3 linked regions of the Macaca fascicularis genome follow. The protein of the gene in region 2 purifies or fractionates together with the protein of the main gene of each other region. This does not show direct contact. Links are inferred from orthologs where the notes say so. Each region holds a gene or a part of one and is shown on either strand. Other genes may lie near its edges. The genes, in order: CTNND1, CDH2 and JUP.

The links.
Region 1: the proteins of CDH2 (region 2) and CTNND1 purify together in Homo sapiens (affinity purification with western blotting; 6 studies listed by BioGRID and IntAct, with this or other methods). This does not show direct contact. The link is inferred for Macaca fascicularis from reciprocal best matches to the Homo sapiens genes CDH2 and CTNND1.
Region 3: the proteins of CDH2 (region 2) and JUP purify together in Homo sapiens (co-immunoprecipitation; 4 studies listed by BioGRID and IntAct, with this or other methods). This does not show direct contact. The link is inferred for Macaca fascicularis from reciprocal best matches to the Homo sapiens genes CDH2 and JUP.

The regions. Positions count from the first base shown.
Region 1 is NC_088388.1:15,839,640-15,843,388, forward strand, and holds the start of CTNND1 (catenin delta-1), read right to left. Parts: upstream 2,602-3,749; 5' UTR 2,365-2,601; intron 617-2,364; exon of another isoform or gene 308-616; intron 1-307. UniProt on the Homo sapiens protein: Key regulator of cell-cell adhesion that associates with and regulates the cell adhesion properties of both C-, E- and N-cadherins, being critical for their surface stability.
Region 2 is NC_088392.1:61,832,037-61,835,685, reverse strand, and holds part of CDH2 (cadherin-2), read right to left. Parts: intron 905-3,649; coding exon 698-904; 3' UTR 1-697. UniProt on the Homo sapiens protein: Calcium-dependent cell adhesion protein; preferentially mediates homotypic cell-cell adhesion by dimerization with a CDH2 chain from another cell. Cadherins may thus contribute to the sorting of heterogeneous cell types.
Region 3 is NC_088390.1:62,792,320-62,795,968, forward strand, and holds part of JUP (junction plakoglobin), read right to left. Parts: intron 3,068-3,649; coding exon 2,912-3,067; intron 2,745-2,911; coding exon 2,625-2,744; intron 2,021-2,624; coding exon 1,870-2,020; intron 1,777-1,869; coding exon 1,655-1,776; intron 135-1,654; coding exon 95-134; intron 1-94. UniProt on the Homo sapiens protein: Common junctional plaque protein. The membrane-associated plaques are architectural elements in an important strategic position to influence the arrangement and function of both the cytoskeleton and the cells within the tissue.

The sequences.
Region 1 (3,749 bases), on a different chromosome or scaffold from region 2:
CCATCCCTAGAGAGCAACTACTTCATAAACCTAAGGCTGGATTGTAAATTACTTAGTGCTTTTCTTTTTGTTAATATCTCCAAATAGTCTCAATTTTACCCTAGCTCAGAGAACATGTTGAAGCTTCTCTGACTATCCATGCTGGAACCTTGAGAAAGGTACTAGAACTCCAACCACCTAAAAGAGAACCGCCCCCCCTCCGCCCCCCAATCTGGAACACAGACCACTACCTTACTCACATAACAAAGAAACCAACCGTATATAGGAGGCAAACAAGGAAAGAAAAATCTGAACAGCTCATACTTACCTGTCATCATTTTTTACCCCAAAACCAAGACGAGGAGCAAAATAAAAAAATTTTAAAAATAAAAGATTTACTTATCTGCATCCCTTATAATTCCTGAAAGAACCAGTGGAGGTGAGGTAAAAGACAAATCTTCCATCTTATCACCCCAAAGGCTCTGTACTACACACCAGTCAAAACAGCGCCTCAGTTCGTGGAAATAGTCCTGGACACTAGGTTAACCAGGATGCTCACTTCGACTACACAAAGCCCACTATTTAAAGCTAAACCCAAATCACCACCACTCAGTCATCCAGAACCTATTTTCAAACTGCCTTTGTACTCCTCCTTCAGATTCCCTCATCCCTCCCCCTAAAGGTTGAGTGGGAAACAGACACTCTGGAAGCAACATGACCAACACTCTAAAGATCCAAGAAACCTCCCCAGGCTGGAGTCAAGGCATAGAGAACATTTGAAAGAAAATTTGGAAAATACTAAACAGACTATACACATTGTATTTTTTTCTTTCTTTTTGACTGTACTTGTTATAATTATGAGATCCAGACATCAAAAATTTCCTGCAGCCTTTGCCTAGATTATATTCAAAGGAGGAACAAAGTTCTGTTTCCTCCTGAAGCCACAACTTCACAAGGATGAAATCATCTTTCAAGAAATACCCTCATTCTAGAAAAGAAATTCAAGGAAGTCTCGTCTTAAAAAAAATTTGCGGCAGGGGGGTGGGGGGTGGAACGAAATCAGATTATTAAAGATACATACCAGTTTAAAGCTAATGAGCAGCTTACACACTAAAGCCCATCTTGTTACAATTAGGACAGTATCTATAATTTTCAGCCTGATTCGCATTTTCAAAAAGAGAAGAGAATACCCTAGTTTTTCAGCTAGTGATGAGTTGGCTATATAATTATCTAGAATCAGTACTTTTGCAAGAATGTATTTGCGAAAACAAAACAAATCTTAAGATTAAATATATGAAAGCACAGTCATAGGCCTTCAGCTCTAAGAGATTTAAGATTTCATGGTAAATTAACTAAGCAATAAACTCCAAAAAACAACTTTCAGTTTGGTTTAAAAATAAAAATCTCCCTTGTGTTTTCTGAAACGTATTTTAAACACTAAACTTTGTATAAATGGTTTTTCTAAACCTAATTTTATTCCAGCCATGGCCATTTCAGAGTGCAGAAAGCTGAAAATATTTTCAGGTGTGTAGTCACTTTACTCAGGTGAAATAAAAAGCATGATTAGAATTTCCTTATCCCTTTAAACACATAAACCAAACGTTGTCGTATTTGCAGATTTAACAAACACCTCCACAAATCTTTGCTATGAAAGGTAGTTTAGAAGGAAGAAGGAGATGGCAATTCAGTTAACATTGTTCCGTATGTTTTCTTTTATAAGCCAAAGCAGGGAGACTACATCTAGCAGGAGAATGAGGTTCCCACCCACCGCACCTGGAAAAGTAAGAGGGATCCACCCAGGAACAGCAGGGCTGAAACCGATACGGGCCGTTCAAACTCTCTGGGGGAAAAACAATACCATTTACGCTGCAAAGCTCCCTGCAACTTTCCACTTCCACAAATCCAATGACAAAGAAAAAAAAAGTTTGAAACATATGAAGAACCATCTGCATAACTGGGTTCCGACACGGACAAATTCCTTTCCCAACCCACATGCAACATGCCAAAAAACCAACTTTTGGGCTCTGAAAACAGAAATATGTTAGCTTAATCCAGAAAAAAACAAAACAAAACAAAACAAAAAACATAAAATCAAAGAACACACCAAAATGTAAATTTTCAAACCTGCTCTTACCCCTCTGGATCTACTCAGCTTCCTGTATTAGAGAGACCTAGAAGTTTGTTTCCAGGTCTTGTATATTTCACCTTTTTAAATATAATAAAATACCAAAATCTACCCCGCCAAAGTATTGAAAGTAGAAAGAAAAATAATTGCTTAAAAGTTACTCATCAACATAACGAACTCTCTCCCGTTTTTTAATTCCCTCCCGTTACCGTAAGACAAAAATTCGACTTGCTTATCCTCCTTTTCCCGTCAGTACATACATTTTCTTTAAAAGCCACACACCTCAAATGTGGAGTTCTAAAAACCAGTCCTTTAAGAAAGAAACCCAAGGCTTCGCCAAGGTGCTGAGAAAGACAAATCCAGCAAGGCAGTTGATTTTTCGCCACCTCTTCCTCCTTTCAGGATCTTTCCTGCTCTTCTTTCTCTCTCTCTCCCTCTCTCTTTTTTTTCCCCCTCAGATCCAACACCTAAAATGGAAGTTGCACCCAGCCAAAGGCAAGGGAGCCTGGGTGGTGACAAACTGATCTGGCAGCCCTACCCCCTTCGCTTTCCTAAGTGATGTCAGCCCCTGTGAGCTTCCAATAGGAGTCAGGCATAAATCAGGGAGCTGACCTTATCCAATAGGAAACTTTATTATAGAAAATTAAAAAAAGAGAGGAGGAGAGAAAGACACAAGGGGAAGTTTATACATATATATTTATATTTATATATTTATATTTAAAGTGGAGAGACTGTACAATCTCTGAGGAATTACTGCAGAGCTGAGGGGGGCGGGGGAGGCAAGGGAGACAAGGAACAAGGGCTTTTCAGAATGGCACGCCTAAGTCTCAGTTCTCTTTGATGATGGGTTCTTGCTCCCTCTTCCGTACTATCCCAGTGGGGAAATAGAAAAGAACTGATTTTACTTGCCTGCTGCTGTTTGGTTTGTTGCTTCCTATCCCAAAGCATTTCCCTAAAGGAAGATGGTAAAGAAAGGAGAGAGAAATCCTAGAAACAGGACTACTATATGTTGACTGGGATGGTAGGGGATATCTGAGGTAAACCCAGTTTCACTGTTTTGGATTAGTTGCATTAGAGCTAATTTTTTTTTTTTTTAAATTTCTAGACTTGTTAACAGTTTTTAGTCTCTATACCCTGAATTAGAAGGAAGCAGAATCCACTGGGCTGTTAAAGAAAATCACTGTCTTCCCAATTTGTCCCCAAATCAAAATAATGTGGGTTTGTTGGGAAGAGGACATGAAATCCAATAAACAATATATTTAGAGGGAATAACAGCATAGGTAAAGAAAGTAAATATCGCCGGGCGCGGTGGCTCAAGCCTGTAATCCCAGCACTTTGGGAGGCCGAGACGGGCGGATCACGAGGTCAGGAGATCGAGACCATCCTGGCTGACACAGTGAAACCCCGTCTCTACTAAAAAATACAAAAAAAACTAGCCGGGCGAGGTGGCGGGCGCCTGTAGTCCCAGCTACTCGGGAGGCTGAGGCAGGAGAATGGCGTGAACCCGGGAGGCGGAGCTTGCAGTGAGCCAAGATCACGCCACTGCACTCCAGCCTGGGCGGCAGAGCGAGACTCTGTCTCAAAAAAAAAAAAAAAAAATTAAAAAAAAAAAGAAAGTAAATATCATGTCAAGAACATTTTATTT
Region 2 (3,649 bases):
ATACTATTTTTACAGTGAAGTGGAAAAATACAGAAATAAAAAAGTGTACATGGATTAAGACCAAAATGTGTCTAACATTCTAGTTTATGAAAAAATTCAATTTTGCTACAAATTGGTGATATGAAAACTCCCTTTATTTGCAACCAGCTGAGTAAGTTTTAAGATTTTAGTGGAAAAAAAAAGAAAACTAAAGTCTAAAACTAGAAGTAATGTACATTTTCCAATCTCATGGTCTCATCCCCCAAGGTAACAAAATCGCTCCATGAGTTTTTTTTGTTTAATTCTGTATTTTAATAAAAGCAAATGCAATGTAACAAAGGCGTGTTGAAGCATATCATGGTTTAACTTACTGCTCCCACCACAAAATATTTTGTCTTTTACTTATCGTTTCAGAAATCAGTACCATTAAAGCCTTAAACAGAAAACTAATTCCAATCTGAAAAAGGTACAAAAAGGCACATAAAATCCCAGTGCTTCTGTACTGTAAAATTCAAGTGTAACTGAGCTCAGTGTTTTTCCAAACAGTATGGATCACTGATATTCCCTCTGAGCCCAAATTGGTTTGCAGCCTATGCCAAAGCCTCCAGCAAGCACTGTGCTAGTAGACTACAAAGTTAAAGCCTAGCTTCTGTATGCTTTTTGGGAATATCAGTTGAAATTGTTTGTACTTGTCCAAAAACCAAGTTCACCCTGAAGTTCAGTCATCACCTCCACCATACATGTCAGCAAGTTTCTTGAACCGTGGCCCCCAGTCGTTCAGGTAATCATAGTCCTGCTCACCACCACTACTTGAGGAATTAAGGGAGCTCAAGGACCCAGCAGTGGAGCCACTGCCTTCATAGTCAAACACTAACAGGGAGTCATATGGTGGAGCTGTGGGGTCATTGTCAGCCGCTTTAAGGCCCTGCAATTTGGAAACACAAAGAATGAAAGAATTAAGAGAGGGTTACAATTTACAAAACCACAAGCAGATCCTAATGAATTCATGGGATCAAACACACACTTGTTTGTAAATTTTCATTTACAGACCACATATTCAACACATGGAAACTGCGGATATAACCATTTGAAAGTTAGATAAAAATTAACTTACATCTTTCCTGTGCAAAGAAACAACGCTAAGCACTCAAGCTCAGGGAGGCCAAGACTTATGAAGGGAGGGGGTTAACTGAGTAATAAGTTGGACAGGTGGCAGAAATGAATGGCTCTGCTTGAGGCAGAGAAGGAAGGATCTTAAATAACATAATATATAGAGCAGCACTGCTAGATTAAATTTAAAAAAGCACCTCAGTGAAATACAAGAGACATACAAATGAGTACCAGATGGTCCGTGTCCCTCCCTAGGCTTACAATCTAGCCTAACAGGTACTACTACTGTGTGAAGCAAATGACAAGTGACAAAACTGTGAAGTCAAAGCAAAAACCATCAGGTTGTGGGGAAAAAAAATTCAGATCAGCATTAAGAGCTAGGAGTTCAAAGAGAAAGTAGCATTGTATTTGACCTAATTTTGGAAGGACATCAAAGGAAGACTGAAGACGGGTCAGATGTGATTACTACATAAAGGGAGGTACTCATAAAATCATTTGTGTGATTAACATAACGTAAAATGTGGAATGAATTGATTAATTTTAAACTGGTATTTTAAAATGTAGGGTAACTTCTAACTTCCAAAAATCCTAGAAATATCATAATCCAGTATCTGTACATGGTATAAATATTGAAAAGAGGAGGACTCCTGTCAATCTAAAATAACACGCTTGTCTGGTTCTTATAAAGAATTTTAAAAAGAAAGAAACGAGGAAATAACTACTCTCTATCTATATTTGTAACTTTTGTAAGCAGATGCTTTTTAATATACAATTAGAGTCTCTATGCTCTGCAAAACTTCTAAGGATTCAGTATTAGGTCCTTTGGTATATTTTCTAACTTTTTTTCCCAATTCCATTCTAGTACTCCTAGATATACTAACATTACTAACATTAAAACAAACATTCCCTTTTTCCACATTCTACGTGTCAAATGCTACTTGGCTTATATGGCCTCAACTATCTAAGACGTGTCACAGACAGTCCTACTTGAGAGATCAAGCCTGCCAATACACATGCATTTTATGAGCGCATACATGGGTTTTTATGACCACGTGTTCATCTATCCTTTCAAGGTTACAGAGGAGAAACAGGGAAAAAGCAAAAAAATTAAGGTCAGAATCAGTATGGTGTAGTGGTTAAGAGATCAGACTGTGAGATGACACCTTAGCTCTCCCCAGTACTAGCTGTGGGACCTCCACATAACCTCATCTGCAACTGTAATCATCATCATAAGACTACTATAAAGACCAAATGCAACAAAGGGACCCGACGGCTCACCACAGTGACTGGCACATGTAGAGCTCAATGAATATTAGTACTTTTTAAAAATTTAAGTTGAGAGAAAAATGTCCTGCCTTGGGATTTGAAAAAATAAAAAACAGTAAAGATATATTTTAAGAAAGAAAATGGCAGCTGCTGACTAGCATCAAAAATCAGAGAAAAAAGTACACATGACCAGTTTTCTCATCTTCAGGCACCTCTTTACTAACAGTCTTAACCATGAAATTTAGCAGTACTTTGCTACTTTTCCTCATGTCATTTTATACTATTTATACTCCAGAAAAGCCTGTGTAAAATAAAATAAAGCAGGTTTCAGCAAAATACTTTGATATATACAACATAAATAATTTTAGATGGGATTTTATCTTATTTTTAGACTAAACTACAAGGCAATTCTGCTAAGACTGAGAACCACAACCTACAATTTCTCAAAACTTGTAACTCCCTTCTGTGGTAAATTGTGTTACTGCCCTCAGTGATTCACTGCCCTTTTTCTGAAGGCAGAACACACACCCCCCCTCCCACAGTGCCTCTCTGGGGTCAGGGTTTACTTTCCCAACCACACTGTAAGGCTTGGCTGTCTGACTGGCTCTGGCCAACGCAGTGTAAGTAGCTGTGAAAAGTAGCTGCTTCAAGAACTCTATCTAATGTGTTTCCACCCTTCCACCAATCCTCCTTTCCCCCTCTGCCAGAATGGCCTGCTCCAGATGGGAAGTTTATCTGCCTGGATCCTGAAACAAAGAAAACATATGGATCAGGAACTGAGTCACTGACAGACTACAGTTGACTTATAATTTAAGCAAGAAGTAAACCTTCATTATTATAAGCAGCAATATTTTGGAGTGGTCAGTGATTGGCGCCTTAGCTAACAAAAGCCAAAGAATGCACCTTCATTCATTTTGTTTGTGTTTATTAATTCGATTCAAGACATATTTGTTGATTATCTATTAATATTATTGCAATGTATTCTGCTTACTGGTAGAGACACAGCTACTAATGAGCTAGATCCAATGGGCTGCCCTCGTGGAGTTAATATTCACATATTAGCCTACACTCTTCTTCCTTACAAAGTCTAGCAACTGCAAATTTAAGCAATAGGGATTCCCTTAGTTCAGCATGGTCTGACTTGGGGTCATATAAGTAGGCCCAAGAAGGATCTGGAGAAAAAACAAGAAAAATCAGGGAAATTCCTGATAAGGAGAATGGGTCCCTGAAGACAAATATTAAATTTTCATTATGACAACTGCGTTATAATACAGACAATGGCTAAGATCACTTT
Region 3 (3,649 bases), on a different chromosome or scaffold from region 2:
CCTCTGGCCCCAGAGACATAATATTGCCCCCTCACACACACCCACACAGCCACCCAGGATCTCCAGGGTCCTGAAGAGCCTGGCACACACTTACCATCTCCATAGGGCTCATTGATGGGAATCATGCTCTGGGCCTGAAAAAGGAGAGAGAAACATGGAGGAGAGGTTTGAAAATGCAGGCTCCGGCCGGGCGCGGTGGCTCAAGCCTGTAATCCCATCACTTTGGGAGGCCGAGGCGGGCGGATCACGAGGTCAGGAGATCGAGACCATCCTGGCTAACACGGTGAAACCCCGTCTCTACTAAAAAAAATACAAAAAACTAGCCGGGCGAGGTGGCGGGCGCCTGTAGTCCCAGCTACTCGGGAGGCTGAGGCAGGAGAATGGCGTGAACTCGGGAGGCGGAGCTTGCAGTGAGCTGAGATCCGGCCACTGCACTCCAGCCTGGGCGGCAGAGCAAGACTCCGTCTCAAAAAAAAAAAAAGAAAATGCAGGCTCCAAGCTGGATATCAGCTGGGGGGCAGGGAGAGATGCTTCTAAAAGAAGGGACTGGGCCGGATGTGGTGGCTCACGCCTGTAATCCCAGCAATCTGGGAGGTGGAGGCAGGCGGATCACTTGAGGTCAGGAGTTTTGGACCAGCCTGGCCAACGTGGTGAAACCCCGTCTCTACTAAAAATACAAAAAAATAGCTGTGCGTGGTGGTGCACACCTGTAATCCCAGCTACTTGGGAGGCTGAGGCAGGAGAATTGCTTGAATGGGGAGACAGAGGATGCAGTGAGCCGAGACTGCGCCACTGCACTCCAGCCTGGGCCACAGAGAGAGACTCCGTCTCGAAAAAAATAAAAAATAGCCCGGGTACAGTGGCTCACACCTGTAATCCCAGCACTTTGGGAGGCCAAGGTGGGCAGATTACAAGGTCAGGAGATTGAGATCATCCTAGCCAACATGGGGAAACCCCATCTCTACTAAAAATACAAAAATTAGCTGGGTGTGGTAGCATGTGCCTGTAGTTCCAGTTACTCAGGAGGCTAAGGCAGGAGAATTGCTTGAAACCAGGAGGCAGAGGTTGCAGTGAGCCAAGATCACGCCACTGCACTCCAGCCTGGCGACAGACCAAGACTCTGTCTCAAAAAAAAATAAAAACAAATAAATAAATAAAAGAGGGGGCCAGAGAAAAGCAAAGAGGCCTTGGAGGAATACAGGATGATGAAATGGGGTCACCCAGTGCCCTGATGTACTCGTGTCCTCAGTACTCCCCAGGGAGGAGGGTTCCCCATTCATGGAGCAGGAACTCCTGCTGGATTAGAGCAGCTCATGGGAGGAGGGTAGGAGGCAGAGGACTCACGAATGGGTGCAGGGCACTGCTCCACCCTGGAAAAGACCACCTGTAGCCTATCCAGCACCTCCATGCAAATTAGGAAAAGCACCCCCTCCTCAAACACCGTATACTCATTTGGGCAAAATAAAAATTGGCATTGTGTGGACATATGGTTCAACCTACTACTTCCATCTGCTAGGAATTGTTATAAATGATCCAATTACAAAATAAAAATCTATAAAGTTGACAGTAGTAGGAGACCCCCAAAAGTCAAGTTGCCCTTGGGCAGTGCACAAGTTGTGCAACCAACTACTGCGGTCCAGCCTAGGATACTCACAGCCTCCCAGGCAGCCGGGTCATGCTTAAAGAGGGAGTTGGTGAGCTCCACGGACACACGCTTCCGGTAGTCTGGGTTCTTGTCCTCAGAGATGCGGAACAGGACAGCAGCAGCGTAGGTGGCTGAGCAGAGAGGAGAGGAAAAGCTAGGTTAAACGTCTGCCAGCCTCCATCATGCCTGGGGGAGTGGGACCCAGCTGCCCTCTTCCAGCTCACCAGTGCCCTCGTTGCGGGAGTGCAGCAACTCCATGAGTGGGGCCGAGGCCCCCTCTGCATCAATGGCGTCAGCCGCCTCCTTGTCCTGGGCCAGCTCACACAGCACCCCGGCGGCCACACGCTGGATGTTCTCCACCGATGAGTACAGGAGCTGGGGAGAGGGGACATGGGAAGCAGGGGAGAGGTGGGAAGGGGTGAGGCAGGCCGGACAACACACCCCACAGCCCTGCCCACCTCCACCCTGTAGCAATTCCATAGTGGAAAACGGGCCATCACTGGGGAGTAAGTGTTACTGTTTTAAACTGGGCTGAGTGTTGTTCATGAACTACCTTGAAATTACCTGTTACTCTGCTTCATCTAACCATTGGAATCTAGTGTTAAAGAAGTCACTGACATGAAAGATGTTAAACTCTTGTCTGTTATGGTACTTGCACATATTCTCCCAGTTTGCTGATTTTTTTAATGCTTTTTAAAGGTTCTTTCTGAAATAGATGGTTTTCATGTTTATGTGGTTGAATCTCAAGTTTTTTTTGTTTTTGTTTTTTCCATTTGTGATCTCTTTCCTTGCTTTGAAGCTTAGAAAGCCATGCCTGTGCAGGGGGTTGCTAAGTAGTCAATCTGGTGTGGCCACTTTCCTCCAAACTCCTCCAAAGACCTCTTGATGCCTGGTCCAGGCCCTCAAAATCTGGGACTCCTAACCTTGCCCTCTAAGCAGTGGTGGGGGCAGCTCTCCTGCATACCTGCCCCAGACTCACCTGCACAAACAGAGGGATGGTGTTGAGCCGGAAGATCTCCATGCGGTTCATGGGGTCCCGGGCGAGGATGTGCAGGGCTCCGGTGCAGCCCTCCACAATCTCCTCCATCCTCACACCATCCTGCAAGAGAGGAGGCAGGGGGCATGGGACAGGTGCTGTCAGCCGAATGAACTTCACAGGCTCTTGGAACTGGCATCAGTTGCAACTGACCTCTGCATTCACACACACACCCACAGAGGACACCTGCCCCCCAGGAAGGTTGTCACAGGCACCACCAGCTCACATACCGTGTAGGGCTGCTGTGTGCCTGCAGCTACGTGGCGCTGGGCATCCTGGTGGGCCTTGACCAGCAGTTGGACGAGGCGGGGGATGACCGCTGCCTCCTGCAGTGGGGCATGGTTGGCTGGGCACAGGGCCAGATTCCTGATCAAGCCAATGGTTGCCTGGCAAAAAAAAAAAGGGGCAGCAATCAGGGGCACTTCTTGGACATCTGAAGGATCCCAGCTTCCCAGCTTCAGGTATCCCCTCTCTCCTTCACCTCTTCTGTCCCCGAGGCCAGACACAGGCACACTAGAAGATATCCAGAGAAGGAGACCATCCCAGCCATGTCACTTAATCCACAGGATCTGGGGGTGCTCATGGCTAATCCTTTTCTTTTTTTTTTTTTTTTTTTGAGATAGAGTTTCACTCTTGTTACCCAGGCTGGAGTGCAGTGATGCAATCTCACCTCATTGCAACCTCCACCTCCTGGGTTCAAGTGATTCTCCCGCCTCAGCCTCCTGAGTAGCTGCGATTACAGGAGCCCACCACCACGCCCAGCTAATTTTTTATATATTTTGTTTGTTTGTTTGTTTGTTTTTTTGAGACGGAGTCTCGCTCTGTCGCCCAGGCTGGAGTGCAGTGGCGTGATCTCGGCTCACTGCAAGCTCCGCCTCCTGGGTTTACGCCATTCTCCTGCCTCAGCCTCCTGAGTAGCTGGGACTACAGGCGCCCGCCACCGCGCCCGGCTAATTTTTTGTATTTTT